Linked DNA regions of Caenorhabditis elegans. The protein of the gene in region 2 interacts with the protein of the main gene of each other region in a pairwise test. Each region holds a gene or a part of one and is shown on either strand. Other genes may lie near its edges.

What was found.
Region 1: the proteins of mei-2 (region 2) and ttr-54 interact in a two-hybrid assay, tested with the Caenorhabditis elegans proteins (one large-scale study listed by BioGRID).
Region 3: the proteins of mei-2 (region 2) and san-1 interact in a two-hybrid assay, tested with the Caenorhabditis elegans proteins (one large-scale study listed by BioGRID).
Region 4: the proteins of mei-2 (region 2) and apc-1 interact in a two-hybrid assay, tested with the Caenorhabditis elegans proteins (one large-scale study listed by BioGRID).

Annotation. Positions count from the first base shown.
Region 1 is NC_003282.8:10,152,124-10,159,674, reverse strand, and holds ttr-54 (Transthyretin-like family protein), read right to left. Parts: upstream 3,901-7,551; 5' UTR 3,471-3,900; coding exon 3,315-3,470; intron 3,255-3,314; coding exon 3,088-3,254; intron 3,033-3,087; coding exon 2,939-3,032; 3' UTR 2,904-2,938; downstream 1-2,903. Other genes in the region: ttr-53 (Transthyretin-like family protein), read right to left, coding at 941-1,093, 1,240-1,407, 1,487-1,612; copg-1 (Coatomer subunit gamma), read right to left, coding at 4,243-4,291, 4,564-4,892, 4,943-5,212, 5,263-6,397, 6,444-6,557, 6,602-7,337.
Region 2 is NC_003279.8:6,562,256-6,569,849, forward strand, and holds mei-2 (Meiotic spindle formation protein 2), read right to left. Parts: upstream 3,598-7,594; 5' UTR 3,596-3,597; coding exon 3,483-3,595; intron 3,437-3,482; coding exon 3,150-3,436; intron 3,103-3,149; coding exon 2,950-3,102; intron 2,903-2,949; coding exon 2,613-2,902; 3' UTR 2,494-2,612; downstream 1-2,493. Other genes in the region: xpg-1 (XPG (Xeroderma Pigmentosum group G) DNA repair gene homolog), read left to right, coding at 1-44; tmed-3 (GOLD domain-containing protein), read left to right, coding at 452-592, 645-935, 1,101-1,280; bag-1 (BAG family molecular chaperone regulator 1), read right to left, coding at 1,456-1,584, 1,647-1,990, 2,035-2,194; syp-6 (Thyroid receptor-interacting protein 11), read left to right, coding at 3,918-3,976, 4,022-4,095, 4,142-4,267, 4,315-4,703, 4,747-5,232, 5,277-5,421, 5,571-5,933, 5,977-6,279 and 2 more; ipgm-1 (2,3-bisphosphoglycerate-independent phosphoglycerate mutase), read left to right, coding at 7,354-7,405. UniProt on the Caenorhabditis elegans protein: Forms a heterodimeric complex in conjunction with mei-1 which severs microtubules in vitro in an ATP-dependent manner. This activity may promote rapid reorganization of cellular microtubule arrays. May act to target mei-1 within the cell.
Region 3 is NC_003279.8:6,403,795-6,411,901, reverse strand, and holds san-1 (BUB1 N-terminal domain-containing protein), read right to left. Parts: upstream 4,377-8,107; 5' UTR 4,369-4,376; coding exon 4,240-4,368; intron 4,195-4,239; coding exon 3,998-4,194; intron 3,956-3,997; coding exon 3,827-3,955; intron 3,774-3,826; coding exon 3,541-3,773; intron 3,495-3,540; coding exon 3,352-3,494; intron 3,277-3,351; coding exon 3,133-3,276; intron 3,091-3,132; coding exon 2,977-3,090; intron 2,935-2,976; coding exon 2,851-2,934; 3' UTR 2,690-2,850; downstream 1-2,689. Other genes in the region: ZC328.3 (VASt domain-containing protein), read left to right, coding at 274-348, 1,135-1,868, 2,048-2,371, 2,416-2,509; ZC328.5 (Apple domain-containing protein), read left to right, coding at 4,966-5,025, 5,162-5,473, 5,817-6,020; Protein cuti-1, read right to left, coding at 6,294-6,396, 6,648-6,832, 6,912-7,063, 7,141-7,309.
Region 4 is NC_003280.10:11,105,127-11,113,881, reverse strand, and holds the start of apc-1 (Anaphase-promoting complex subunit 1), read right to left. Parts: upstream 5,722-8,755; 5' UTR 5,659-5,721; coding exon 5,605-5,658; intron 5,552-5,604; coding exon 5,222-5,551; intron 5,178-5,221; coding exon 4,748-5,177; intron 4,463-4,747; coding exon 4,316-4,462; intron 4,312-4,315; exon of another isoform or gene 4,270-4,311; coding exon of another isoform or gene 4,065-4,269; intron 4,011-4,064; coding exon of another isoform or gene 3,860-4,010; intron 3,580-3,859; coding exon of another isoform or gene 3,494-3,579; intron 3,448-3,493; coding exon of another isoform or gene 3,283-3,447; intron 3,233-3,282; coding exon of another isoform or gene 3,125-3,232; intron 3,078-3,124; coding exon of another isoform or gene 2,865-3,077; intron 2,820-2,864; coding exon of another isoform or gene 2,713-2,819; exon of another isoform or gene 2,675-2,712; intron 2,652-2,674; exon of another isoform or gene 2,529-2,651; intron 1,133-2,528; coding exon 1,045-1,132; intron 562-1,044; coding exon 1-561. Other genes in the region: glb-4 (GLOBIN domain-containing protein), read left to right, coding at 2,713-2,819, 2,865-3,077, 3,125-3,232, 3,283-3,447, 3,494-3,579, 3,860-4,010, 4,065-4,269; nasp-1 (Protein NASP homolog 1), read right to left, coding at 5,940-6,032, 6,091-6,666, 6,716-7,082, 7,134-7,246; C09H10.9 (YqaJ domain-containing protein), read right to left, coding at 7,920-7,952, 7,997-8,124, 8,173-8,311, 8,356-8,465, 8,515-8,651, 8,697-8,755. UniProt on the Caenorhabditis elegans protein: Probable component of the anaphase promoting complex/cyclosome (APC/C), a cell cycle-regulated E3 ubiquitin ligase that controls progression through mitosis and the G1 phase of the cell cycle.

The DNA.
Region 1 (7,551 bases), on a different chromosome or scaffold from region 2:
CGTTTTAATCAAAAAAGGCTACAAACCAATGGATGGCGGCTAATCCGGATTTTCGAAAGTGTTCTTCATCTCTCTAATGTTTAATTTGGCACTGATCTTTTCAATTTTTCGTGTTCAAAGGCAAATTTATAATTCGAATAGGTTAGTCCATGTTCGTTGTAGATACCTAGTAAGTTGGCGAATTGAACCTAGGTCTATGGATATTTGACAAACATCAAATACTAGAAGGAAATGTTATTTGGTATTTTATGAATGACAGAAAACGTTCAAAAAGTATATTTTTGAACTAAAGTTTTGAAAAGCACAAAATATAAAAAAAAAGTTTCGAGCAATGTTCACTTTTTAAAAGAAAAATTCAAAAAAATATGAATGATCTAGATGAAATTGAAGTAGATCATGTATGGTGGTAAATTTTGGTTTACAGGTATCATATTTGCGAAATTTTTCATTGAAATTAAAAAGTATTCAAGTATTCAAGTTTGAATGGAGTGTTCATTCTGAGTAGAGTTTATAGGGTTTTGCTGAAATACACTAAACCGTAAAACTAGAGAAAAACCACACATTTCCAGGATTTTCATGGGACAACTGCGATGAGTGATTTTTTTTTACTTCGTACTTGAAGTCTTCCTGGAGAGGTTAGTAGATAGTTCATAGCTTGGTTAAACACCAAAAATTAGTAAAACTGAAGACTAATGAAAAAAAAATTCAAAAATGTTATGCAAGAAGGAAGTGAAATCACAGAAGAAAATCGAGGCAAGAAAACAATTGATGGGAACGATTTAAAGTGGGAATGAGTTTTGAATTCATAGAAAATAATTCAAATTCCGACTGTACAAATATTTAGATATGAAGATAAAAGTACAAAACAAACAAGATTTTGGAATGAATAACGCGATGAATGGCAAATGGGATAAAAAAGATTAAAATGGAAAAGAATAAATTATTGAGTTGGATCAGCTTTCTGTGTCGTTTTAATTCCACGAGTCTCCTTGTCAAGAACGATGGTTCCGATATCATAGGTATTTGGAACAAAAGTACTGAATTCTGGAAGTTGGAAGATGTCTCCTTTTTCACTGTTACAGTAATGACGAATCTGAAAATTATCTTTTAGTAGATTACAGAAAAATTATAACAGTTTTCTTAAAGATTTTGAATTTCATAGGCTCGTAATGTTTCAAAAATTCAATGAAACTTGGAAAACAACATTTTTGATATCGAACTGATGATTAAAAAACTAACTTCAATATATGGTTCTGGAACATTCTTAACTCCCGGAATCCAATCGAAATCATCTCCACATCCGTCCAATTGGAAACGTCCGTCATCATTGGAAAATGTGACACCCATCAAATCATCTGGGTCTATCATTTGAAGTGGTCCTGGACCATCACGATCCCAGACACGAATCTGAAATAGTGTTTTGTTGAAATATTTCTGCAAAAATGAATTCACTATCAATTTCAGGAGAAACTGATAAAAATCTAACCTCAACATTCAGATTCTTGGTCGGATCATTTTGACATTCGACTTTTCCTAGAACCCAGACACATTCTCTACCAGCAAGAGATATGGGAAGAATGGAAACGCAGATAATTATAAGCGATTTGAGCATTGTTAGTGGTTATTTTATGTTAAATCTGAAAAAAGGAAAGTTGGACAGAATGGATTCAGAAACGAAATATTTTGAATGATTTCATTTCAGAACAGATCGATGTTTCATCAAAAGGGAGAATAACGGATTATAATAGGATTTTGAATGTTCAATTTATTTTTCAATTAAAAACATGTGCCACTTTTATTTTTTATTCACCAATTTCACCATAAACAAGGAGTTGGATAAACTAAACTAAATTTCAGATTATTATGAATCATTCGCACGTCATTTTTTGTGGGATTAAAGTTGGAAACGTTAGAAACAAACTGCATTGAAAATTAAATATATTGAAAAATGGAGTTTTGATTGTCTGAGGCCTAATGATTGACACCTCCAACTACTCATTTATAAAAATTCTTGATTGACACAAAGAATACGGTGAAGCTGCCGCAAAATGAAAATCAAGCTATTCACAACTGCCGGATGACGTCAAACATTTGTGGTTGGATCGAAACAGATTGAATTGCCAAAACAAACAAGAAAAAGTAAAATTTTCAAGAATGAAGAGAAAAAGAAAGTTTGAAGTATTTCTTGAACCAGTTTCTCGTGTCTGAAACTGAAACGATGGAAAAGTGAGGTTAAAACGCACGGAATTTTAACTAAAGAATTGGACAACTAAATATCATTTAAACACTAAAAAATAATTCAAACTAGTTAAGATTTCTTAAATTAGAAGAGAAATCTCGAGAAATAAAAAACAAAATTGAGGAAACACTATAGTTGTGACAGTACCAATATTCAAAGGCGCATAGCTACTGAGGAAAAATATTTACACATCGCTACGAGACCGCAGCGACGCTTTTGGACTTGCGCCCAAATTGTTAGTGTACGGTGCCTTCTGCGAGAAGATTTTTGATTTTATTTTCATTTTTATTCTTAATTCACAGCTATAAAAATAAAACTATACTATTTCTATTAGCCAGTGAAAAATATTGTGTCCTTTTTCCATGTTTCTCGGAAACAAATGGATGATAAGAACAGGAAAATCCACCAAAAAGAAAGAGGACACCCATATCGTGAAGAATCGATTGAATAGAAAAACCTTGAGGGAGGTTGGAGAATTAATCATTGAAAAGCGATCAAACTGACTAGTTTCTGATGATTCCAATGTAGAATTTTGGGGAAGGTCATAGCTACATTTTAATTGATGATATGACATGTTCAATTTCAACTTTTTTGCCAAGTTTAGTTTGATAAAATAAGTTATGGATTGGAAGACCAATTAAACAACATTTGTGTGTAGAAAATTCAAATATAAAATACATTTATTGAACTCTTAAACATCTATCCCAAAATAATAGGATGTTTTGTGAAATAATCGTTAGTTTGTGGAACGAACACCTTCGGATTTTTCGGGTGTACAAGCGTCACTTCTGCCCTGAAATAATTAAAAATTTAAATATTTATTATGAAGCAAGTGCTTTGTAACTCACTTTCCTTTGCAGTAGTGTCGAATTTTCAAATAAAATTCTGGTTCATTTTTGATAAAAAGAAAATCGAGGTCAGAAGCACATCCTTCCACTTTGAATGTTCCATTGTCATCTGCAGAAGTAATAGTTCTTCCAGCCAAATCATCATCAACGAATAAAGTAATTGGAAACTGTAATTTAATTTTTTTTCAGTTCAACATTAACGACATTTCAAAAATAAAAAAACTTACAAAAGATCGATCCTTGTCCCAAATTTCTACAACCACATTTTCCAATTTCGAAGTGTCCGTACATTGTAATTGACCGACAAACCAGGCACAGTTGTTAGCTGATGAACAGAGAAGAGCCAGTGAGCACAAGATTAGAAATGTCACAGGTGCTCGCATTTTCAATTTTTGAGTCAACTTTAATAAATCTCAAGATTTAAGATTTGGTTGCGGAAAGGTTCGATTAAAAAAATACAAAAGTGAAGAAAAGAAACGATTTCTCAAAGAAGTGAGTCAGTACAGACAACGAGAATTGTTTACATTGCTCTTGGGTTACCTAGTGGTCATTTTTCTTAGCACCTTCACAGTGTGTGGCCAATGTGCACAATTTCACGACAACGTTAAACCAGAAATCGATAATAACTGTTAATGTTACGGTAACAAAAACTTTAAAAAATAGCTTTAGAGTCACATATTTTCATTTTTCGAGGCGACAAACTGCGAAACTTTCAATCGGAAGCGAAATATCACGAGATTTCAAGAGACCTGGTGATCATCCGGCTCTTCACAAAAAAAAAGAGAACAGCTGCTCGGTGAATCGATCAATCCTTTTTTTTGCTCTAACTATTAAGATGCCGAACAAGCTTGTTTTGGAAACTTTAACTTACCAACCCATTTTAGTTAGGATCCGGAAAAATTAATTATAACATGTGTTCTATTGTGTAACCAGTAAACTCGAGGAAGGTATAATGAGACTTCCCATTTTATTTTTTCAATTTTTTTGGAAGCAATAGCTATAAACACGAAAACGCACAATAAATAAGAAGCAAAAATACCAATTAAAACACACATACATCACAATTGTCGAACGCCGGTCAATAAATTAGAAAAAAAAACATGCGGTGACATTTAAAATCAGAAAAACAGCGGCGCAGGACATTCCCGAATAATTTTAGACAACTGCGGAGATAACCAAATCTGCGACGAGTGGTTCATTCGATCTGTAATTTTAGAATTTCAAATTGTGCTTACTATTAGTAGAGATCAGGAAATGACTCAAAACCATTAAAAATGCTTAATTTTAAATTTCAATTTTAATGCTATTTCATAATTCGAAAAATTTTGCAAACAATTATTACTGTCTGATTCCACTTAAAATCAATTAAAAAGTTTAATAAATATTATGTAAATATGTACTAGATTTTATTTTGGAGCAAATATATGATTGACCTAATTGGGATACAATATCAAAAAATGTTTGAAAAAAACGTACTTGATAATAATATTCATGGCAATTGAATTGTCGTTTGGATCCACCGCGACCGTGGCTTTCGAAAGAACATCATATCCACCACGAAAAACTCCGGAAAGGAACACTGTGTGTTGCGTCTTTCCTTCAGGAACACGATCGGACCGTTCACAAGGAACAAGTCCCAAAATTTCAGATATTTTCTTGACAGCATCAGGAATATTTTCCACTGTTGACAATTGGAATGTTTCTTCTCTTGTTGCATCGTCTCCCAACGCTTCCCAAGCAGATCCAAATGAAGATTTTGCGACTCCTTGAACCGAATCCGACACATTAACATCAACTTCTTCCAGCTGAAAATAATTTAGAATTATAAAAATGTATTAAGAATTCTACAGCGTACCACATATGTTTGCTCGTATGTGTCATCCGAATCAGGTTCCCCGGAAGTTGGATCTACATCCATCACCTTGAACTTGAGAATAGCACCTAAACTTCCAGAGATGGCTCCAGAATCAGGGAATTCTAGAAGTGAAAAGGCTGAATGAACTTCTCCATAGGGAAGTTTATCAATTTGAACAGTATTTCCAGTTTCCCATTCTCCATCTGGATCTTCCAATTCAACAGAAACATCAAGAAGAAGCTGGTCATTCATTGTATTTTTGCATTCAAACTGAAAATAAATTCGATAATTGATTTCAAAAGTTCACTATTTTTAAATACCTGCAGAACCATGGCATTGGCAAATGTATGCTTGATCATATGAACAGTGTATTCAGCAATTGATTCCGTGAGAGCAATTCTGGTAGATGACTTGAAGACTGGACCAAGAGCAGCAAACTGTGGAATAGCAGCCAGCTGTGCAGCATATGGCTCAACTTTAGGAGCTTTCGGTTTCTCTTCTTCTTCCACAAGTTGAGGAACACGTTTTTCAGGTTGAGAAAGAGCTTGTTGAGTAACAGGAACAACTCGAAGATCAAATGGAGAAGAGTAAGATCCGGATCGGAGATAGTCAAGAATTGAGCGCTCGAGACCAGATGGCGAAACTTGAAGTCCGTCAAGAATAAAGTTGTGAATGAGGCCTTCGGCTGCTTCAGTAAGCATTTTGAGGTAGAAGGTGGCACGATCACGAACTTCGTCATCAGAATCCAAAAGGCAGCGTTTCAGAAGAACTTGAATCGATGGACGCAAATCAACGCACTGTGCTCCAAATTTGGCGAGAGCTGTAACTGCAGCGGCCCGAACTTTGGTGCTCTCCAAAATTACGCGGTTGTAGATGAATCGAATGTAGCTTGATGGGTTTGGAGTTTTTGGAGCTTCTCTCCCGAGGAGATGAAGAACACGAGTAGAAAGATTATCGTGCTCACAGTCTTCAATGAATTCGCAAAGGTGAGCCAATCCAGCAACTTTAGCATCTGGATTCTCTTCGATGATTGCAATAATAGTTTCCACAATTGCTTTCTTGTAATCGTAACTTCCGTCACTACGCAACATCTTAGCAAGGAAAGGCATCATAACAGTATGCTTTCGAGGATAACGTGAGCACAGTGAGCGAATAGCATCGACCACAACAATTTTGAACTCATCCGAGATCTCGTTTACGAAGCCAGCGATTTGTTGCATGAGTCTTTCAACACTAGACTCGGCTCCAGTCTTGAGGAGGGTGGTGATGGCAAGAGTTGCAATAGATCTGTTCGGGTCCGTTATGAACTTCTCAAGATCCACATTGCAGCTCATAACTGCGTTCGGGTGAGCCATTGCGACTTTGTTGAGAGTTCGAACTGCGGCAAAGCGAACTGCTGCTTTTGGAGAAGTGCAGCACATTTGCAGAGCAGTGATTGCTGGCTGAATCTCCGATCTGCAAAATGAAATATAAATTTACTCAGAAATTATACAATGCTTACGGAGTGGTTTGTGGAAGTGAAACAATGGCTCTAGCTGCTTCATAGACTACCATCTCGCTCTTGTGACGAAGACACGATTCAATGAATGTGAAAACAGAAGAATCTGGCCTGCAACTTTTAATTGATTATCGAACCATACGTTCAATTAAAACCCTTACTGATCGTCATCGACAAGACATCTAGTGGCAATGCGGATCAAATAGCACACAGCATATGGACTACGAAGAGCATTTTTGCTGAACTTCTGGACGAGTTTGTTCACAGCGAGACGATCGTTGGCACGGATTTGATAGAGAAGGGCCAGAGCGTGGTATTGAACCATGTGGTTGTCCGATGAAACAGCTTCTTGTACTTCATTAGCCCAACGACGAACTACCTCGGAAGACTTACGCATCAAATGAATGGAAGAGACGATAGCCGATGAAGAAATCGCACTGTTTCGATCAACGATAGCCTGTTTCATGTATCTTTCAATAGTTTGCAACATTCCAGTGTCGGTAATCTTGCAAAGAGCACGTATCGCAGCTGCTCTGTAGAGATCTTCTCTTCCAGTCATATCCTTTGTAAGACTTGAAGTGACAATAATGACATCATCAGAAACTTCAGCCAATTCCTTCACAGCGAGATAAACCATGCGGCGTAGACTGACATCCTTGCTCTGCCAAAGCTTTGTGACACCAAAAAAGGCCTCAGTTGCTTCTGTTCTTCCGATTGATTCTCCTTGTTGAATGATGTAAATCAACTTCGACAAGATGAAACAACATTTCCTCGCGTTGATCGGTGTCTCGTTGAAGGCGCGAGCTTCCTGAAGAACGGAGGTCTTATCGAGGTGAGCATAGACGTTTCCCCCGGTTTCCTCATCCTTCTTGTTGGTCTTCATTCTTGAAGATTGACCTGGAAAATAAAACCATTACATTTTTTGTGGCGCGAAGAATGTATAACGGAGTAACTCAAAATCATTCGGCCGACTTCGAATTCTGATGGCAAAAATTAGGAACCCAACATTTATGATTTTTCGAGGATACACTGTTTTGCTACTGATTAATCGAATAATGAGAAAAACCAACGTGTTCTATTGAGAAGCGAGAGAAAAGTCATGCACAATCAA
Region 2 (7,594 bases):
TATCTGAGGAAAGCAGTTCTAATGATTCTTTTGATGAATTTTAGTTTTTAGCTAATTTATCTATTGAAAATAAATAAAAATGTTGCATTTTACACCAATTTCTTTTATTACGTTGAAGTTATTCTGTCAATTTGTGAATATTTTATTGATATTAATATTTAATACAAAATAATGAATTTAGCCTTCTCTTACAATTGAGCACAAAATGTGCAATGTTCTAATGTGTTCTATTTTATGTTCTATTTATAATATATTTATTGTATAATTAAATATAAATATTGTGCGCTGCAAGTGCGCCCCTTTGAACTAGTGTTCTGTTGGCATTTTCCATGCGTCGAATTTCTCTCCTTTTCACGTTTTCTCTCTATTAATAGAATAATTATAATTTTGTATTGCTTCTTATCCAATTCGAATAAATTTGTAAAAATATTTCAACTTTTCAGCCAAGATCATGCTCAAATTTGTCATAGTTTCATCAATTCTTGTGGCCCTAGGTCTGTCAATCGAATTGACATTCGAACTTCCAGACAACGCAAATCAGTGTTTTTATGAAGATCTGAAAAAGGATGTTGACACAGTGTTTGAATTCCAAGTTAGTATTTCAATTGAAAATCGTAGAAACTGTAATAATTTGATAATTTCAGGTTGTTACTGGAGGCCATTATGACGTAGACTTGATCATTGAGGATCCAAATGGAAAAGTTTTGTATAAAGATACTAAAAAGCAGTACGACAGTATCAACTTCAAGGCCGAAGTTGAAGGAACATACAAAGCATGCTTTTCAAATGAATTCTCCACATTCTCTCATAAAATCGTTTACATGGATTGGCAATTCGGTGATCAAAATGCTCTTCATGCTGCCGTTACTCAAGGAGCTCATGCAATGACTCAATTAGAAAATTATGCAGTCGCTATTGGAGATAAATTGAGAACAGTAAGATTTTTATTTAAAAAGATTTATTTTTACAATTAGAAAATGCTCAAAACGTAACTTTTTCGAATTTTATGAATTCGTTCATTTTTCCAACTCTATTTTGCTGGGAGCTTACTAAAAAAGTTGTTCACCCGACATTTGACATACTTATAAACTTTTTTGTAGATTGATGACTATCAAACTCATCATCGTCTCCGTGAAGCAACTGGTCGCAAACGTGCAGAAGAACTCAACGAGCGCGTGATGATCTGGTCCCTTGGTCAATCTGCCGTCGTAGTATTCATTGGAATTGGCCAAGTTTTCCTGCTCAAATCATTTTTCAATGATAAAAGAACTCGTTATTAATTTTTTCACACCATTGCTCTTTTTTTTGTAATTAGCAGCCTTCTCATTTTAATGGGTCCCGTCAGTTGTTTTGCCCCTTTTCCTCCCTTTGATACATAGCATAAGAATATAATTTATTGATTTATAACTGAGTTTCATAACATAAAAACCCGAAGCAATTTTATGCAATTGAGAATTATTCAGGAATGTCTCCGTTGAGAACTGACTGATATTCCTGGAGTCTCCGAAGAAGTGCGTCATTTTGATTAAGAAGAGTTTGGATTCCGTTTACGAGCGTCTTGCGTTTTTCACGGTTTCGCTTAGCCTGAAAGTTGATTGAACTGAATCGAAAACTTATTCAAAGTACAAAATAAAATTATGACACACCTGATTTTCGGGAGTAGTTTCAGTGATAATATTCATCCCATCAAGAGTTTCCAGATGTCTTTCCGCCTCTTCGTTGAAATATTTCACTTTCTTTTCCAGCTTTTTCCCCATCTCGACCTGCTTTGGTTTTTCGAGAAAACCACGTTCCAAATCAGCGACATCTCTCAAATTGAGATCATAGGCTTTTTGAAGATTGCTCAAATTATGCTTCTCATATTGCATGAGCATTTTGAAGCCCGCGTCATCAACCAAAGCATTTTTTCCACCCATCACAATGATTTTATCATTTTCTTTAAAATTTAAAGTAGAAAGGGAGACATCGTCGGCGCCTTGAAGAAACTTTCCTGTAAAATACTTTGTCTCATTATTCCAAAAAATCAGAAACAACCTCTGTGCAACAACTTCATGGTTTCAACATCAACATCATTGTCGGTGGCGATTCGATCGCGTAGCTGCCCAAGTGTCAAAATAGATTCGTCTTCTCCTTGATTTTCCTCAAGAATGTCGATTGTAGTTTGAACGGATGAACACGACACATTCACCTTCATTTCTGAAAATTGATTTTGAGACAGTTTTAGCAGTGGGAGAAGCCTCCGAGTGTCGATAAATAAGAAATTGGAACAAAATTATTGTTAACTTATTAGAAAATTAAGAAACTTCTAGAAATGACGAGAAGCTTATGCGAAAATCAGTTCCTCCACGAGGTGTACACATCGATTGCAATGGGGCGCACTCGCTCAGAGACTTCAGAGAAAAACGATTCCATAGACAATGAATCACCGTTTTCGTACGATACTGTGAGGGACATTAAATTAGCCCATTTTTGTTTTTAAGTCACAATACGAGAGCACATGATAGTTTTTATATTGGACATGTAAGAAACACAATGTATGAGCAATAAAATAAACAGTGAGTTGGGTGATAACCATCGGTTGAATAATAAGTATGCAATTATTTACAAGAAAATTACTTATGGCTGGAAACTTTTTTCAATCGCTCGAGAATGGCATCGAGTTTGTAAATTGTCTCCTGGTCAATCTGTTTGTAGATTTTGTCCCGATTTTTAACTATTTTGCGAAAATTGTGAATGCACTCTGTTGCTTTTGCAGCTCGCTCTTCAGCTACCACATCGACTCCAATTCGCCGAGTTTTGGTGGATGCAAATCCGATGATTGTGTCCAGTAAACTGTTGGTAATTGATGCAAGAGCCTTCAAGCAAGCCGATCGCTTCCCATAATTGTCGCTCGTGATATTTTCTGAATTACAAAACATTAGAATAAATTTATCAGGAAGCAAAACCAACCCATGATAAATGTTAAACAAGCATGGCACGAGTTGAGACACCAAGAGTTTCTACTATTCAGAATTCTAATGACTGTGGGAGCGAGTTGGTTGTCGTTTGACAATATCTGTTCCATGTTACTTGTGAAACTCTTCATCTTATAAACACGAAGATCTGAAAAGAAAACATAAACTGAAAAATCAAAACTCTGCAAATCCTACTTCTGCTCTCTCGCTTCGCACAAACACCGATTTTATTCACTTCCTCGGTGCATGCGGACCACAACGACGCGTTTGATGACATGACTGACACGGATGATTCTGGGGAGGATTTTGGCAAAGAACTGCTATGTTCTTCACCTCTCGAAACCGGGTTCCGAGACAATTCCTTCTTCGACTCGGAATGCAATGGACGTCTTGAGCGAGTATTTGTGAACTCGGGCAGATCGGCTTTCACAGTTCGAGAACTCCCGATGAAAGTGATGGGAACGTCCTTTTCCGCACCGCGTCTGAAAAAAATATAATCGCTTCAGATACTTTTTTCGTAGAACTCACCGACTCGAAGTAGATCTTGTATTTGGTCTGTTTTCAGCGGATTTCGGAATGTCGTTGAGAGGCTTCCTATTTTTTGCATGTGTTAGTTTTTTCCGGTCGTCAAGCCCTGACATCTGAAAAATTTCAAAATTTCAAATTTAAGAAGAGACAAACATTTTATAATTGGAAAAAAACACAAGATATCAAAATTAGACGAAAGAAAGGAACTAGTAAACAAGAAAAAACCGTTTTCCCGCATAAAAGAAATTCCCGCGTAATTCTTTGAAGTACTATCGTACCCCGCATGAGCGCTGCGGGACCCGAATAACATCTCATATGCGCCTTTAAAGTTTTTAATATAAAGCTGGATTTTTTAATCCTAAGTATTTACTTTTGCCTCATTCCAATGAATTCTTGAAACGATATATTTAATATTTAATTTAGTTCTTATAGTAAATGGCTCCAGTACTTGGTTTGTTGGAAAATGAAGCGAAAGTCAAGTCGATCATCAGAAAGTAAGTCACCAAAAAAAGAAACAGTTTATATTAATTTAATTTCAGCAATAACCTACTCGAAAAAAAGTTTTCGAGCTTTCAAAGACAGTGTAGAGACCTATCAAGAAACCATGCACTCCGTAGGCGATTTTCGTTCTTGGTTGCAAACGAATTACATTTTTTCAGTCGATTCGTGTTGTTCACAAGTCAAACATTCGGCAACAGCCGCAGAAGAAATGTCAGTCAGCGATAAAGATGTGAAAAATCACCAGAAGAAACTTCATTCATTTTTGGCACAGTCTACTGATCAAGGTATCATTTTCCTTTTAACTTTTAATATTTTAGTTTTCGTGTTTCAGTTAACTCCACGATTGATAAAATGGATTTTTTCTGTTCCAAGGGCAATCACTCTCTTCCGATGGAAATGTCAGTGCTTTCGATCACACTTCCATATGAAGCGTGTATTGAAAAATCTGCAAAAAAACACGAAACTATGGTTTTTTCCATTGATGAAGTTTCGAGTGCTGTTCAGCACCTGGAAAATGAAAAAGTCGATGTGGAAAAGCGTCAATCTTCAACAGGCAAACTTATATTTCAAACTGAAAAAGAAATTATGAAGCTAAAAGAAGAGATTCAAGTAAATACAAATCTCGAGTCAAATATTATTCAATTGTCTCTGGAGAAGCTTTCTTCAGTCAAAGACTCTTCTACGAGTGAAAATGTTTATAAAGCGAAACTGGAAGAGGAGGTATTTCTGTTTCATAAAAAAGGATGTAAAATTTATAATTTAGATAAACGAAGCCAGGCAAATATATGAAGACGCATTGAAACAGGATGTGATCAGCCAAGAATCAGCTATGATGACCCAGCAACTAGAATCTCTTAATGAGTTGTGCTCTGACCTCAGTGATCTTAACAAAATTAATCTTACATCTATCGAAAAGTTTCCTGATTGCAATGAGGTATGCGAGCTCTCCGATGAACTGCAAACTCTTGAAAAGTCTGAAGCTGAAAACTCAGAAAGTATAATAAATCTCGAGGCGTCGTTGGAAGATATTAAATATCAGAACAAGAAAGTCCGTAAGAGTTTTGATCAAATAAACCAATTGGAAAACGCATATATCGTTAAAAAAGAGGTTCTGACTCGGAAGAAATCTGCTATCGAGGACGTCAAGCGACAAATTGCTGAAAGCAAAATCACATTAAATAAATTGAAAGTGACTGTCCGTGCTGTGGAACGATCTGACACCCCAGAGAATGTGGAATCAAAGAAAGAAGTATTTATTCATTCAAATTCAGTATATTACAAGTCTTGTTTCAGGAGGCTTTTCGGCGTCTCGTGGCATCTAGCACTGAACTTCCCGGACCAGAGTCATTCCAGCGTGACAATGTTCGAAATGTGGAGAAATCATTGCGTTTTAAGAAGTGGAACCAAAGAACCACGTCGCAGTCGTCGTTCACTTCAGGTAAGATGTTTAATTGTTTTTATACCAATTTGATTACAACCACATGTTTACTTTTTTGAATAACAAAATACGACGCTTTCAAAGAAGTTTGCAAAGTTTTTTTAATAGACTTTGTGTCAAAGAAGAAATAAATTTATAATTATTTATAGTTTTAGATTCAACACGATCTATTGGACCGATTGGTGTGCATTATCCAGGGATAAAACTTATCAACAAAGACGCTGCAACGCCCACTGAAGTTATTCGGAAGATTACATCGGAGCTAAATGAATCTGCTACTTCTGAAGATTCAACATTCGATGACGATACAGGCACAACACAGGATGAGTCTGGATTGAATGCATTCTTTAATTCTCCGGTTAGCAAAGAACAAACTTCAATGCGTCCACAGTTTTCAATGATTGCTCATATGGAGAAGTATGATACAATGCAGGCCAAGAAAAACATGGATAAATTGCCTGATAATGTTCGCCGAGAAAGCGAAATGGAACACATTTCCCATAATTACGGCCGTAATAATAATTTTTACAGTACGAAAAATTCTGATTACTTCAGGTCCCTCTGAAGTTAACCGCCCGGCGAGTGTTTCATCTAAACGCCACGATCCGGCTGCAAGTATATCGGCAACATCGGAAGAGTCGATCCTATCTGGAACCACTCAGGATGAATCTATGCTCAATGATTTCTTCAATCCAACAGGCACCGACGAAAAACTTAACGACGTTGAGTTTTCCATGACTGCGCATGTGGCAGAATTCGATAACAGACAAAAAGCAAAAAGAGCTGCAGAGCAAATTAAGAAGAGTTCTTCAAAAATATCTGGCAAAAAAGAGGAATCAGTTGCAGATGATAAAAGTGGTTCTTGAATTCTGAATAAGCTTGACAATTTGCAACTATTTTCAGGCTCTGGCAACAGCTACGTAGCTGAAAGTGAAGCTGGCTTCTCACAAGGATCTGAGGAAAACGAATCCATGGATGATGAGGTTTGTGTCTCTTAATGGAATATTCATGAAACATTTATTGTTTTCAGGATTTGGTTGCTCCAGATGATGGCGGTCTAGATCAAACGATTTGGGATGGTGACGACTAAAACTTTCTACATTCTAATTTAATTCATACTTTTTTGTGTTCCTCTTATACGGAATTTTCGCGTAATCTTGTACTATTCCATCATGTTCCTATTGTTTGTGATCTGTTATAAGTTATAAATCATTGTTCTTTAATATTTCAATATTATTGCTGTCACTGTCAAAATGCTAATTAAATTTATCTTTAAAAATCAATTTAAATGTTTAAGTCCTGTAAATATTTATTAAACCGTCGAATTTCAGGAAAAATAACTGTTATAAAATTTATTTTACATGTTAACATGCATGTTAGAAAAGAAGAATTTTACATGTCAACATGCATGTTAGAAAAGAAGAGTACTTGAGAAATTACAAAAGTTTGTATGTATTTACTTGTTTCAATAGTTTTCATTTGTCTGTGGTCGTTGTCTCGCTGAAAAAGACGGGCGGTGCGAGAAAAAGGGTTTTATTTGGACACTAAACTCAATAAAGATACACTTTTTTGATTTCGCTCGCTAAAACTTTTCAATTTCAATACTTCACTTTTGCATCATTTTTCGTGCAGCTCTCTGCGTCTCCGCTTTCAAACACTTCTATTTTGGGTCAATTCTGTTTTTTTTCTTGTTCAGTTTCGAATCAATAGTTTAGCGCGGCTCCAAACATCTAGAAAATCCTTCAAGAAGAGAGCACGAGAAATTGAGAATTTCTTGAGAAATGAGAGAAATGTTAGAGATACGTGATAGAAGAGTTGTTTACGTGCAAAAATCTCACACAGAAAACGTTTCTCAATTTTATTCTCATTTCTTTCAACATTTCAATAAGTCAATGAAATAGTGCTTGACAGAAGAGACGGAGAGAAATAGAGATGTTCGTAGCCCTGGGCGCTCAAATTTATCGGCAATATTTCGGACGACGCGGTGAGCGGTTTTTGGATTCTTGTTGTTCTCTTTTTTAATTTTTTTCTCACTGGTTATATTTTAAATTTCTCGAAACAAAATTGATCGATGATCAAACTTCTTATTTGATAACGAATCAACAGTTTTGATTTAATTCCATTTTTCATAATCTCGTCATTTTGTTTTGCCTTTTTTTTAATTGTCCTTTTT
Region 3 (8,107 bases), 160 kb from region 2:
AAAGTGGAAATTTTCTCACCTATCATTTTGATCAACCTGCTTTGTTTTTTAATTAAGTTTTAATTATGTGCTTTAATTTGTAAGGAGTTCAATCCTGTAGCGACTCTATTTTTGAGAAGTTTGAAAAAAAGACGCCTAGCATTAATCGGCAGAAACTAAACTTTCAAATTTATCCTAATTTAATCGTAGAATTCATTAATCAATATTCGTCCATTTCAAACTTCCCCTTCACTATTTTAAATTTATGATTTTCTTAAAAATTTGAATTTCCAGAACTCACAAAACCAAACGCCACCCGACGGAAGTACACCGGCATCTACAAAAAATACATCTACAGAAAACATGACAGTTAGTTCTTTTTCTTTTTGAATTAAAATCAATCAATATTACTGATCTTTTTCCAATATTTATCTTTCTCAAAATTGTGTCATTTCGATTTGCAAGAAAGAGGGCGAAACGTGAAGAGCAAATAGTGAGAAAATCAAGAAAAAGTGGTATTGAGTGATGATTTGTTACGAAATTGTTGAAATTGAGATGAACGGAGAAGTATGTCAAAGAAAGACTATTTATTTGATTAAAATATTATTTATGTTGCAGTTGATATATAATTAATGAATCATAAAAGTTATGGGGCATAGAAAAAGTGATTTCTTACTGTACCATTTGAAAAATAATCTATTTAGGAAATCAATTTGCAAAAGTGACAAAATATCTAATTAAAATGATTCAAGAATTTTATGTTTTTTTTTCTAAAATGTAGAATTGAAAAGTGGTAATTAGGAAATTTAGAAGACCAAAAACGTTTATTGGTTTTTTTATTGTATATATTTAAATTAGTTGTGTTCTTTTTTTTAAAGTAAAGCATGGATTCAAAATTATATTGAAATTTGGCGTTTTCTGCCTACTAATCCACATTTAATCAAGAAGAATCAAGGAGACATTTTGATTTCTAGAAAATACGCTACAATCCAAAAAATTGACTTAATGCAACTGATTTATATTTTGAAAATTTCGTTTCGCCAATATTCTATCTCTCAAGCATGATCCTTGATTTTAAAAAAATCAAGGTAGAATATCAAATATGACAACTATGTTTATCTTTCAAAATAAATTTGAAATTGAATTGCATTACAGAACCTCAGCTCCCGATCCTTCAACAGTTCCATTTCTCCACGCACCGAAGCTTCTACTTTGAAAAATAACAACGACAAAGACAACACGTCCCAAAGTTCCACGTCATCCGACTTCCATGATGAAGATTCAGCTACTCATTTCTCTGAACAGTTTGAGCAAGAAGATGAAATAATTGAAGAAGTTCCATGTCCTTGTTCTGAACATTTTGGACGTCTTATTATGGATAAGGAATTCAAAGTTTCTGTTGAGAAGTTCTATGAATTGTTATTCACGGATAATGAGTTCCTAACTATGTTGAATCAAAAAACAAAGACTGCTGAGTATGTAGCTGCAACATGGGTTCGTGATCATCAAGGAGACAACACGCGTACTTGCACATATACAGTATCCCTAGCTCATGCAATGGCTCCAAAAGCAATTATTGTGAATGAGAAACAAATTCTAACACATTATCCAAATCCAAAACAAGGAATAATGATGCAAAAAGAGACACAGAACTCTGGAGTACCATATTCTGATAATTTCACTGTCAATTGTCGATACTGCATATCAAGAACTGGTCCAACATCGTGTAGAATAAAGGTACACGGAGGTGTTATGTACAAGAAGAGTACATGGGCAGTGGTGAAGACATTCATTGAGAAAGGGACTCATCAGGGTCTTGATGAACATTATCAATTGTTGAGTAAGCTTGTTGATGAGTATGCAGCCAATCATCCAGACGAGGATCTCAGGTTAATATTTTTTATTTCATTTATAGGGCTCAGGAATACATCTAGTATGATTGCATTTCAAGTTCAAAAAGAAAAATTGTTAGAATAGCAGTCAAACTTCAACATAATTTAATAGATTTTCTAAAGTTGACTTCGGAAAGTCAATGAGTTAATAAATTTACTTTTTTTTTAATTTTCAGAGCCCCAATGTCGATTACATTCCCAAATGGAAGAGATGTCATAAAATCATGCGAATCAGAGTCCACACCCAATGAGGTCCGCCACCGTCGTTCACAGAAGTCTCCAGAACGTCTTCTGGCTGGTGGCGAAATCGCGAAAATTGTCGATGATTCGCAGTTTCTCCCTGAATCACAAATCATTCAACCTATTGCAACTACCAATAAACTGACTGCAGTTGATTACAAACCGTTCTTGATTGCTATCATTGCTCTTCTGACGTTATTCTTCATTGCAAACATCTGGATTCTGCATGGATTTCACAGAGAATCTTTGCCTGTTTCAAGGTAAACTTTCGTATTAGATAATTTCTGAATTTAATTTCCTACAGAAATGACCAGGATCTTGCTGAGATGTTGTCGACATTAATGGATCAAGTGAAACAGCTCAAAGAAAAAGTGGATCAAATTAAAAAATCTGAATAGACGTTCAAGTTCAGCTGCCAATTGTTTTGTAAATAAGAAACTCCCGTGTATCATTCTCAAGCATTCCATGTCTTCCATGTGGCCCGTTTTTCACTTCACCGATCCGTAAAGCTTTAAATTTAAATTATGGCTACAACTTTTCCGGTTTCCTCTTTTCCCTTTTGTTAATTCAATGTATTTAGTTACAGTTTCCCTTTTATGTGATCAAGATTGATTGAAGAAAATGAAATAAAATAATGCAAGTGTGATCAAAATCATAATACAAATTTAGAATTGATTTGCTAGTGATTTCTCCTCCGTTTTCTCATGTACTTTTTCCGTGAAAATAAATGATTTGAAATTTACAATGTCTCATCGAAATCCAACTTTTTTGCAGTTGCACGCACCATCGAAGGGTGATTCGGCAGAAGAGACGCGGCATATTCCTTCAAAATGTTTTTTTTAAATTATTTTATTTTCAAAATTACCTCAAACGACAAATCCTTGAAAACACGCTTAATAGCCATTCTAGCCTTTGCTTTTGTCGGTCCAGATCCTTCAACAGTCCAAACTTCGAACTCTGAACTGGAAACTGGATAAATCTGAAACAATTATTTATTGAACAAAACTATTCAATATCTTACAGTAACAGCTGCAGCTTCAGAAGTAGATGATCCCGTGATACTCGGATTAGTTGTTTCCTTGATGGCATATCTTTCGATGTGAGCATGAAGCTCATGAACGTTTCTCAAATATTCCACGTCATCCGCATCAGTGTAGGAGAGAACCTGAACGATATTAATTTTTAAAATAATATTTATATAAAACTGCAGAATTTCTCACTTAGCTAGAAAAAACCATACCTCAAATGGTTGCATTTGATTATCCTTACAAACTGGGTTAACCCTTTCCACGTTTCCCGTATCAAACTTCATCGCTTTCTTCGTTGTATCTGAGCACATCGATGGCAAACGAACAATCGGAACTGTATGATTATCACCAATCACTGAAAATTTAGTCACAATTGAATTTTCAAATGACTCAAAAAATACCTGGTAAATTAGTGAATGCTTTTCTCGTTTCTTCCTCTTCCTCATCATCATCAGAGTCTCTTTCCTGTAGATGTCTTCGCATTTCTCTCATTTCTAGAGCATCTTCGGCATCATTGACGATTTGTATTGGAACTGCGCAATTAGTTCGAGCAAGAATCAGAACACGTCTGGCTTCTACGTATGCACCAGCTAGTTCCACAGATTGAGACCAACGAGCGTAGAGAGCAGCGCACCTGAAAATTGTTTCAATTTATAAAATTCCTAAACGAAAAATATCAGAACTCACTTTACTAAAGATTTTCTGCTAATAGCAAACTGATAAATATCATGTGCATGACCAGCGCTATTATCTGCCATTTTCTCCCAAATTTTAAGCATTCTCTCGTCCTCTTTGTATTTCTCCAGGAATCCATGTCTAAAATATATTTTATTGTTTTTTTCAGTTTTGTAAACTAGCCTGCTGATTATTTTCCAGAGAAGTTCGTAATATACTTTGTGAAAACCAATTGCAAGTTTCTCTTCAAACCACGAACAGAAATCTAGAATTTTCTGAAGTTCTTCGCTTTCTTCTGAACATTCCAGGTTTTGAAGTTCTTCGAGAAGTTGATCAAGCTTTAAGCGTGCAGTTTCTTCGGTAACAACTTCTTCAACATTCTGAAATTTAGATAAAATTTTTTTCTAGGAAAATACCATACTTACTCTTTTCAGTGCGTCAATCTTTCTTCCCCTTCTTGTTGGGCGGACATTTTCCGAATATCGATCCCAATCATCTTCTGCGTCATCATTGTTTCGTTTTTTAAGAGTGAAAACGTACGGTTCTTCTGCCATTGCTAAAATAATATGTATAAACTGGCAACAACGACTGACAATCAATTTTTAAAAGTTAAAACAAAAACAAAAAATCTTCAAAATTTCATTTAAAATCGCCGCTGTTTCGCGCATTGCCTCTAGAGCGCGTTTGCACAGAGACCATACAACGTTGAGGAATTTGGGTTTTGAGGATGCGCTATTTGAGAATGCAAAAAATTCAACTCAAGAAATAGAAATAAAATGAGCGATAATTAGCTGAAAACCAAAATATTGACTAAAACGTTGTAGCTTTCTCCACGCCAAATTCCAAGACAGCAAAAATTTGCGTCTTGACTAGAAATTTAAACTTGGAACTTATTTTCTAGATCTTAAATAGTGAGTGATCTATATTGCTTCTTAAAAGTTCGGTTATTGCAGTAACAATTAAGCAATGAAGTTCTTTTAAACTGTCTCAAAACTCTTGACATTACTGTATTCTTTGTTCGTTCCTATTTTCACTTCCCTATTTGAAAACTATGACGACTGACTTATTGAAGTTCTCATGTTTTATGAGTATCATAACTTGTGAGACTATTTTAGAACATAAAATGAAACATTATTCTGAACCTGAACGAGATGAGGTTTCAAATCTTTACTTTCTTGGCTCTACTAGCAGCGGCGATAAACATTGGCGAGGTAGGCATTTAAAACTGATTGGTTTGGTTTTACAGTAGTATTCAACAAAATTAATATGCATTTCAAAACTTGAATTTTTGTCATTTTTTAAATTCTATTACCGCTATAAATATTTCCAATAAATTTGTTTTTGAAGGGCGCAAAGCCATGTCGAGCCAAACGTCCGACCACTGAACCACCATCAACAACTACAGTGGAGAGTTCAACAACTCGTGATTCAAAAGCACCTTGTATGGCAGTATTTGAGAATATGAAAGAAGAAGAAGATGGTTTTGAAGATTATGCAATGGGAGTTACAACTGCAGCATCAGTACCAGAATGTAGTAAAACTTGTGAAACTGATGTGAAATGTGCATACAGTTTCTTTAAAACTAACAAGTGTTACGCTTTCGAGAGATTTAGACCAACTGATTTTGTGAAGAATGGAGGGATGCCACTTATTTTCAAGGTGAATACGGGATTAAACTCTGTGACGACAGCCACTAAACGACACGTATGTAGGTAGTAAACATGCCTGGGATAGGCATGATGCAGGCAGGAGGTACATAGGTATACGCTACGCTAGCATATAGGAGGTAGGTAGGCATGACGAAAGAACGTAAGCAGAAACGAGCTGAGAATCAAGCAAGGCACCTAGGTAGACGTAACGTAGGGAGTTAGACAGGTCTTCCTGTTTTGAAAAATTTTAAAACAGGACCGCAAATGTTCGGAAACAGGTAAAGCCGGCCTTCTGAAGCACTGATGCTGAGCTATAGCATATACATATCTTAAAATTAAAAATTATTTTTCAGCTATATCTCAACGGGACGGTCACATGTGACACTGCTACAATTGATGAATTGGCAAATACGAAGGAGAAAATGTACTATCCAGATGGTGGATCTTATTGGCTTTTCAAAAGTATTTTCGATAATTATTCTCTCAGTGTTAAAGATCCAGCCATGGGATATAAGAGAAGAAAGAGAAGTATTCTTTCGTGGTTACTCAATTTCTAATAAAGTTTTGTGTCGCGTTCAAAATGTTGAGAATTGGTAGTTTTTAAATTTTTAACTCGTGAATTACAGGATTTTTGTTGGGCAATAATAACAATTGAATGTTTTTAATGCTCAAATGAGCACAGAAACGTAACAAAACACATTGAACATACGAACGGACAAATAAAATTTAAAGTAAATTTCGAACCGTTTATCAGTAAAACTTTGATGGTAGAGAAATTATAATGAAAATAATTTAAGAAATTCGATTAAAAACAATGTACAATCAGAAATCTATCTGGTTTTGGATGACTCTCTGAGTTCGACGTTCTGCTTGTCTGCGAAGTAAGCTTTATCGTAGAGATAATCAGCAGCTCCTTGAATGATGATTCTTGTCCTGTAAAGTAAACAGTTTATACAGACAGATTTAAATCAATGGTTTTTAAATGTTATCTTCTGAAAGAAAGTTTTGAAACTTGAAACTCATTTTCAACATTTGTTTTATTGGGAGTTTCAAAATCTATTAGAGAAAAGTTCGCATTCTTAGAAAACTATAGAAACCATGGAAGTTCATGTTTTAGGTTCATAACATAGAATTATAAATTAATTAAAGTTAATCTATTAAAATCCAGGCATTTTAATTCTCACCAAATAGCAATTGCAGCAGTGAAGAAAGAAACAACAGCAATGTTGAATGGCCAAATTGGTCCGTAATCTTGTTCAATTCGATGAACTTTTCCAAATATTCCAAAGACTTGTCTTGTGAATTGAATTCCAAAGGCCATGCAAACAATAGAAATGACCGCCCAGATCAGGAGGAAACAGATTATAAACTGAAATTTAATAAGGAATTAAAAGTTTATAGAATAATTAAAGTAGCCGGAAACTTTTCGGAATGAAGGGAAGACTTACTTCAATAAATTTCAATTTTGATCCTAGCATCTGTGGATTTTCTTTCCAAAGTCCAAATGCCATTAGAGCACTTGTTAAAAGAGAAAGTACCGTAATACCAGCTTGAATATAAAACAACCATTTTCCAATTGAATCCGATTTGTGGCTCATTACTGAAAATTGTTTTCTTAAAACTTTAATTTCTAAGTTTTGTGAAATACAACTATTTCTGAACTTCCAATCAACTAACCGTAAAAACAAATAGCTCCAGTTCCCATAACAAGGAATTCAATAAATGCAGAAATGTACGAGGCAGTTGTATAATGCATTGAATTACACGTGGCAGGGGCATAGTAGAATTTGTCATGTGGAGAGTATACAAAGTTTGGAGGCAATGGAGCCACCCGGTCGTTTGGCATGATTTACTGTAAATGTTATAGAAATCAAATTTCAAAAAAAAGAAATATGTGGAACGCTTCGTCAGAATAAGGGCTTGAAACATTTATTCTAATCTTTGAGTGGAAATGTTTAACTCAGAAAAATTCCCATTGGGTTTAAGTGTTCCAAACTGATTGTGAGATGATTATAAAATGTTTAAATTGACCTTAAATGTACCTAATGAAAAGCGGAGAAGTTACCGTATTTTTTCTACATATTAATATGGCAGGCAATACAAGATTTTTACAAATTTGAGCTTGAAGTTACTGGTTTGTAATTACAAAAGATCACATGTTATATAGAAATCAATAAAAAACATTATAATTTGGTTTTCTTGTGAAATAGAAAGCACTTATCAAAACTTGGATGAAAATCTCATTAATATTTTCGACTTATTGAGCTGGCTTTCGCAAGTGTGTTGAACTTAAAAATTCACTAATCAGTAGAAAAACATTAAAAAAAATTGAATACCACTTCAAAAAAATCGATAAGGAAATATATGGATCAAAGTGAAAGACGAATGGTGTGTCTGTTGCCCGAAACGCATTCTCGTTCCTTTCCTTTTCCCAATTGTCCGTGTTGCCCTAGATATCCAGAGAAGAGATGTTCCGATTGTATTGAGATTAAGTGGAGGATCGAGAGAAATAAGAAAATGACCCGCTTGTGTGAGAGGGATTGTATCCGATTTGTGAATTGCGGAGAATGAATGAAGTACAAGGGTATTTATGGCGTCATCGCATATCATAAATGAAATACCACAAGTGATCTGGAAACCTGCG
Region 4 (8,755 bases), on a different chromosome or scaffold from region 2:
TTGCCTCCAAACATTGCCGTCGTGAAATCCGAACCAAGAACTACAGTAATCCCACTCTTCATAACAAATGCCGCATCCACACAGTCTACAACACACGGCTCGTGTTTTCCCTTCTCCAATAGATTTTTTCGTGTAGTCTCCGCATTCTTCCATATTGGGATGATCTTCATAACTTCTCCGGTGACTGAGACCAAATTAATGTACATATCTGACAAGAAATTCGAGATGAAGATCTTGTTGGCTTTCGGTATTGCTCCTTCCTTCGGTTCCACATAAACACATTCCAGACACACTTTCGACAAGAGTAGATCAACATCAGGATCTCGTTCAAGATCTCCAAAATCACGATCATTTCCATGCTGTGTATTCTTCGAGAAGTTCCTTGGCGTATCGCGTATCATTCTGGTAAAGTCCCGAAGCAACGATGCATTGGTGTCCCCGCGACGGCACATTTGTGTGAGATGAGTTCGATGGAATGGTGAAGCAGTTGTCTGGAGTCTAGACTGAGCAGCCGGTGTGCTTGTTCCTGGTGCATCCTCATTGACCATTCTGGCGAGTGTTCTGGAAATAGAAGAATATTCGATTATATTCGATATTATTACTTTTTGTTATTTTTTCTTCAAAAAAAAAAAGATGGGTAGAGTTTGTGGGTTTTTCCCTAAAAACAACTTAAAATAGGCCCAAAAACAACCGAAATTTTTTTTTTTGGTTTTTTGGCGTCATTAGACGAACAAGTTTCATACTTTTGTCATTTATCTTGTGTTAATTCGTCGATTTGGATATATTTATGCCAATAGGCATCCAATTTCGGTCATTTTTGGATGCTCTAGCGACTTAAATTATGCTTAAATCAAGGAATTAAAGCGAATTAAATTACCAAAACATGCAAAGAAAAGTGATAACTTAGTAAAAAAACTATATTCCAGCTGCTGCATCGAAGAAAATTCGGCGATATTTTAGATCTTCGCAAATTCAGGTTTTTTTCCGAAATTTTCTTTTCCTTCGAGGTGCTCCTTCTTTAACGAAATTTCTCATTAACTGTACCTAGTATGTATATTCCGTTCGAGACCTCCTCTCGCAATAACTCGTGGCGTATTCGGAGTAGTTGCCCATATTTGAGAGTCATTGTTGCCTGAAATAAAAAAAAGTACATACTTTCTCATTCTTCCTCATTTTTATTTTTGTGCCTTCATTGGCCTCATCACCTATTCACGGGTTCATCTGGCACACACACACACAAATTTACTGGTCAGCGACTGAGCCTAGAGGAGGATGAAAACAGAAGCAAACTCTTTTTTTCTTTCAATGGCTCACACTAATCTCTGTGTCTTTCCTGTACACGCCTTGTTCTTCTAAAAGAGAGATTCTTTTGGCGATGCGACGACAACGAAAAGAGCACCGAATGCAAATGTGATTTACGCCCTCAGGGCTATACATATCTACAATTTCACATGTGCAGCAACACAAAGTCTCTTTTGTCGGTGTGCACACTCGGCGGCGGCAATGTTCAACAGGCCTTACGTGGAATATGAGGCGCCACACAACAAATTGCTCGACTCTTCCAGTTTTGCTATTTCCAGCCCGGAAGTGTGACTCTATTTCTTGCAGCAGCAGCAGCTAGGTTGATCTAGTTTGGAGCTCCTTTAGAGCTCCGTTTTCAAGATCAGGCCTTGTTGCTCTAATAATCTCGTTGTAGATCTCTATAGAGTTAGTCCACGAAAAGTTTCAAAGCTTCATCTGATATCCGTTTCATTCAAAAGTCTAATTCAGTTTTTTTGAAAAAGGGGGTCTCCCTCTCCAATTTTCATGAGTGCTTCTCACGCCTATCGGACGCCTTTTTGACGTAGAAGAGAAGATAATCAAATTGTTTCGATTTCAAATTTCACATTCACAGATCTCCTTCTCTAGTCAATAGGCTCTCTCGTCAATCAGAGTTCAGTCGCGGTGACACCCCCGAATCTAATTTGATTTTCTCATCGTAGAACTTTTGTTCACATTCGAGACGAATTTCAGAACGAAATTCAGAATATCGTGTGCAATTCGACTCCTCCTTCCCCTCCCACGTCTTTTTTCTTCCTTATAGCTGCCAGAACACATCGGACGTCGTTGTCAATCATTTTTCTTATTTAGTCGAGGACGTATTTTGTTTTTACATCTGCTGCTGGTCTCATCTTGCAATGCTGAAGCACCAAGACGCCGCCCCATTTATCATATTCCGGACGCTATTAGTTAAGTCGGGCGGCCGCTCCAAGTTTTACTCGATTTTAAAAAGAAATCGGCTCTGCATTTTCATTGTTTTGAACCTCCTATCACATGAGTGACCTTCTTCTCTTTATATAATCATCTTTGAGAAGATCGACGCACTTCCTTTCTCAATTTTTTTCTGTGAAAATTGCATCTTCGACGAGAATGTCTGAAAAACAACTTCTTCAGCTATTTCTTTGAATAATGTTACGTCCTCGTGAGCTCATCATAACATATTCGAATACCCATAATTATTCATTATTCACCTTCGCGAAAAGAGCATGCTAAACAACTGTGTGCTCTTTCTACTCTCTTTGAAGCTTCCGTTGCTATAAACAGATAGAAAAGAGAAAATCCATTCTTTGATTCATTCTGTTCTTTTACGATTGGCTCAGTTAGGATAGATGAGATACTTAATGATGAAGCTCATTTTCAGTGTATCAGAGATCTTCCGGACTATGCAACAAAATGGGCAATCAGTCTGCTCGTCAACTATCTACACATCGAAAACATGTAGTACATACGTGGAATACAATAAACTCGCACGATCCACAGCTTCTGAGTGATGCCATTAGGTGAGCTCTTTTTTCAGACTGTTCCTGAAAAGCAATTGTTTTCAGTGAGGCTTGGCTCAAATCCGCCGAGTTAACACCCACATGGGTATGGGCTCTTGTTGATCTACCAGAGACTATGCACGCTACCTATAAGGAAAATGCTCAATTTCTCAACATCATCAATCAAGTTCGTGACTTTCTCAACATACTCATCAAAGTTCACAAATGTGATCCAGAAATGATCAAGACGCTTTCCTTCCGTCTCGGAGCACGCCATCGGTTAGTCATATGCGTGGGTGGGACAACACTCACAAAAATGTTTATAGACATTATATGAATGAGGGAAATGACAACTGCTTTTGGGCTCCGTTTGCCCAACAACTTCCGATCGCCATGAGCAAAATGTACATGCGGGTTGTCACAGAGGATAGCAAGTAACTTTTTGACAATTTACATCACGGGTGGGAAATCAACTGGTTTTCAGAATTCGGCGAATATTGAGAATAAGGTCTAGGGCAGCGGAGAAAAGTGAAGAAGAAGAAGTTTGTGAGTCTTGGAGACAGTTTTCCTGCATGTTAATCGAATCAATGAAACGAGGATATGAGGGATGTGCAAGTGAAAAGACACCTCTTCGGTTAAGCATTACAAAGTAAGTGCTCTTCCATATCTTCCACAAAAAAATCTAAACATTCCAGCTCGATAATCTCAATGGCATCGATGCGTTCATCACGTTCCCGATCCGCCTCCCATTTTCTCGAACCGAACATGTCGCCGGCAATCGGTGCGTCTCAAGTTCATCATTCACATTCGTGTCGTAGCTCACCATCATCTAAACACCGCCCACCACCACCTCGTAGATCACTTAGATAGTTTTCTCGATATTCTTCAGTTGATTTTGTTCGCTTCTACACTTTCCTTCTCACCACGTATATATATATATATATATAACAATAAATACACTAACTTCTAGGTTTGCTGTGTGCCGTGTGCTTTTCGTTTTATAGTTTTTTTGTTGTTGGTTTCTGTTGGCTAAATTCATATTCTAATTTACTCAAATCTAGCTCCAATGTGTGCTCTTCTTGGCTCAACAGAGAGCAACTCGACGACTACAACAACTCAGCCATCATCTCCAATTACTCCATATCGACGAAGAAGTATGTTCCGCGCGGGTGGAGCTCTTCAAAGGAATAGCCAAGACTTCACAGCACTACGGTATGTAACAATTTGACGGACATCAGCTATAATTCTCACTTCACGTATTTTCAGAAACCGCCGTATGTCTTCTCCCAACAACCCGTCAATTCTTCTAAATAATTGCGACATTCAACTGCTCAAGTTGACGTCTCAATTGAGCCCCCTCGAAGATCAAGTCAAACAGAATCGAGTGCCAGGACGAGCGCATCAGCAACGGCGAAGCATAACACTTTTAAATTTTGATCATCATCATCGTGCACGATCGCCCACGACTTGAGGTTAATGGTGCTAATAAATTTTTATGAATTAAAAAAAAAAATTACCTTCAAAATTCGGTGTTGGAAGTGTTGCAGGGTAGCCTGGAGCGTTCGGGTTGTTTGGAGTAGAATGTCCAAAACCGGATCGCAGATGAGGAGTGAACGGTGAGCGGCTATCAATTTCCGAGCTGATCACTTCGGAGAGCACATTTTCTGGAAAATAATTATGATTTTTTGTTGAATATAAATTAACTCGGACTTCCACACTATATCATAATTGAAAATATTTATTTTTTAGTTTTTAATCACAACTCTTTCTAATTTAACATTTGATTTTTTTAGTAGTTTTTGGGGAAAATCGAATTATTTCCTGTTCGAAACGAGGTTTTTTTGGTTTTTAACTTAAATCACTGTAAATTAACTAAATATTGACGATTTGAATGTCTGATACAATACGAATAATATATTTATCCAAAAGCTCAAGTTTTCAAAAATTACCGGCGGGAGAGTTGAGTGTCGGATCAAAATGCGTAGTTCTGCCGGCAGAATTCGGCGCCAAACTCGACGCGAACATTGTTGAATCAGACGGTCTTCTGAGTGCTTCAACGTATCGAATCGCTGCGTGAACTTCCTGTTCTTGTGTCTCTCGTGCCATATAAATCCGATGCGTCTTCTCCTTCTGATCATAGACAACAACGTAATTTTGCTGAGCGTCAACGAGTCCAGCCTCGTCTCGATGCGATTGCCAACAGAATTTCCATTGTGGATGGTAGCCGCTTGTCTTGTAGATAACCGGGAGAAGCTCGCCGAATGGACCGGATAGCGAGTAGAGGTGAAATGTGTCGTGATGGTGGAAGGTTTGTTCGCTGGATGAATCGTAGAACCGTTCGACCAGAAGACTTGTCGAGCAGGAGAACACGTTGCGAAGCTGGAAATATTTGAAATTATCAGAATTTCAAACTAAATTCTCACCTTAAAAGGAATTTCATAGTGATAGAAATGATAGTCGGGAAGCGATATGAACTGGAGCTTATGCTCACCGCACACAACCAAATAATCCCGATGCTTCGTATCAGGTCCACCACAATTCTCAGTTGCCAACTTTTCAGCGTTTCGAGTCACAATGAACGAGTGGAAGAACACTTTTTTGATATCAAACTCCATTTTGAACCGTCGTTTAATCATCTTCCGTCGCGTCGTTCCATCACAAATGAGAATAATTGGACCCGATGTGAAGACAAAATCCGTGGTCTTCTCCTTGTTTCGAAACGCGCAGACCACTGTATCCTGGGTGAAGAAATCCTGAAAATTTAAGTTTACTTTTTTTAAATTGTTAATTATCTAAAAAAAATTACCTTTCCAATTTCATCTCCCAGCTGAATATCAAACTGTTTATTAGCAGAGATCATATTTTTCCAATGGCAATCATCAAATTCTTCACTCATACAAGTATAATTCGAATTTGAATGAAGCTGAAAATCCTGTTTTAAATAGTAAAATTATTTTGGAAGTATGAAAAAGATTTGAAACAAATTATAAAAACGAATATATGGCGAATATATATATACAGAACAAGTTTTACTTTAGAATCCTTAAATTCGGATAACAGATAAAATGTTAATTGATACATTATCAGTAGTTCAGTAGGTCAGATCATGATGAAATATTTAGAATTACAGGTTATCAATATTCAGATCGAAGTTGTTCCTTCCTCCTCCTTTTCTTTCTTCACTGCTTGATTGTCAGTTGGAGCATCCACTGCTCGTTTTGCTGGACGACGAACCTGGAAATTTGTTAATTGAATATTTAAAAAGTCTACGGGAAGTTAATTCAAACCGTACCAAGCTAGAAATATCATTTGCTTCCTTCTGATCACCGGCTTCTTGTGGAAGTTTTGCCAATACTTGTGTGAATCCTTCGAATTGCGCTTTAATGGCCTTCTTAGTTTCCTCAACTTGTGCTGCAGAGTGCACAGCATCAGCAATCATTTCTTCAACGCCTGGCATCATCTCTTCAAGCTCCTTCAGCTCATTCTCAAATTCAGACTTCTTTTCCTTATCATCAACACCTCTTTCCAGCTCATGCTTCAACTCAGTCTGCCTGGCGATGAGTACGTCCTTGGTTTTGCCGAAGTACTGAACGGTTTCATCGTAATTCGCATCGCTAGCACACGCGTTTCCGATGAGAATGTAGGTTTGGGCGATTTTTCTCGACGACGGTGGAAGAACATTGCGCTGAATGTTGAGGGCACGATCCAAGTCCTCAAAAGCCTGAGTATACTTTCCATCTGATATTCCGTGCTCGCCGAGGAGAACCAGTACATCAGCGAGTTTCAGGTTCCATTCCTCAATGGCACTGATTCCACTCTGCTCAGCTTCTAGAGCTTCGATTTTGGCAGCGGCAATACAACGAGCTGTCTGAAAATAATCACAATTAAGCATAAAATCATTGAATAAAATAAGAAACCTCAAGAATTTCCCATGATAATTTCATGGTATCATCATCATCGTCCTCTTCTTCACCGGATTCCTCTCCGTCCTCCTTCTCCGTTTCTCCATTCTCTTCGTCAGTCTTGTCATCAGAATTTCCAGCTTGCTCCTCATCTCCGCTTTCCTTCTCACCTGGACCTTTCAGAAGTTGGCTCTCCTCCTTCGCCAATTCCAGTGTGGCCATGCCATAATAGTAAAGAGAATCGAACGTGTTTTCATGGTTTTCTCCATAAATTTCGGAGCTCAGTTCAGTAGCCTCACTCAACGAATCCGATGCTTTGTCGATATCGTTAACTTTCAACGCACGGCGTCCAGCTGCAAGCAACTCGGCGAGACGCTTCTCTCTGGAATACGAAAAGTGATTTTATTGATGATATTCTGCAGCAAAAGTTTACTTCTGCTCGACAGTCTCTTCTTCTGTAGTAGTCCCGTTTCCTTTTTCATCTGAATCTCCTGAAGCATCCTTCACACGAATATCAGAGGCGTCGGCGATGTTTTCAGTGTCCATTTTCTGATTTGTTAATATCTGAAAATAAATACTATTCGATATATATTCAAAATTCAATAAAAAGCGGATAAATTCAAATGAGTATAATAGCGCGGGAGAGCCTAGAAACCGAGCGTTGCCTAGTCCACTAAAAACCGGCCATACGGCGGGAATTAGTACGTTTCGAAAAGGTTTATCAATAAATGTTTTTAAACAAACATATAAACTGTATTCATGATGTTTTTAGAATTCTACCGCTAGAACAGACCGACAGGCCGATTTTTTGGTTGATTTCAGTTGATAATTCCAGCTTGAATCACTTATTAACACTGCCGCCGCTTAAAAACTTTTAATTAAACAAAAATAAACACAATACTTCAGCAAAACTTTCATTTGAAAAGAGAAAAAACAATTTTTTGGGAGTATAAACTTAAATTGTCAACAACAAATTTTCCCGCGCTGTGCAATGTTGCGTCTGCGTGCCGCACAGATATTACTGTAACGCATCACATATGACGAGCAATTGGAGTTTTCTTTATTTTTTCTTTTTTGTTTTTGCATTTTCTTTTGCCTATTTTCCTTCTAGTTCTTTAACAAAATGAATTTATTAAAAACTTTTATTCTAAATACTAGAGAAAAACTGTATATCACATAAAACTCGATGGCACATTGTTGAGAATCTTCCAAGTTGTAATTAAGTCCGCTCAGAAGTCGTTTTAGGCGATTTCTGAAAAGAAATTAAAATTATGTTTAACTGCTGTGTTTCAATACCTTCTTTAATTTTATTGTAAATTCGTTTTCCCCATTTTCTGAGTCGTGTCGTCGTTTTACTCCACATTTTACGATTGGGGGTTTGGAGAGAATGCCGAGGAGAACTGGATGGTCCGACAATTTCAGATCTGCAATCTAGTTTTTGTTGAATTTCGTTTAATCACTATCAAACTTACTTTCTTTGTCCTCCTGCAAATTCATAGCCTGGAAAACTGGCGTTCGGATCGTTGTGAATTTATTATCCGGATATTTACATACACCTTGAGCTTTGTTAGTGCCGGCTTCCGTAATTCTTATCAGCGAAATTTCAAATGCCTGAAATTTTGTAATGACAGGTGAAAAAAAATGTAGATCCTCACATTAACATGGTCGGCGACATCCGGATACACAAAATTTTCTATCCATTTTGCAAATGAGTGCAAGTTACTGTAGCTACAAGTACCAATGAGAGCGCCGTGCTTATAAGTTTCTGAAAATTATATTTAATTGGTCTATTAAGCTTAACTATAAAATATTACTTTTATTATCTGGCCAGTAATGCTGGTGTGCGTCGAATAGAGTTAGCGTGTCCTGATTTCTATCGAAAATAATCGAAACTGTTCGAACACAGCTCATCATGATGAAGACAAGGCGACTTTCCGATTGAAATAATGGACTGAAAAATGCCGGAAATTTATAGAATTTGAAATTTTGAACCTACTGCCGAACAGCCATCTTGATTAGTTTTGGTAGAGATTCTTTGATTGATCCAGTAGTTAG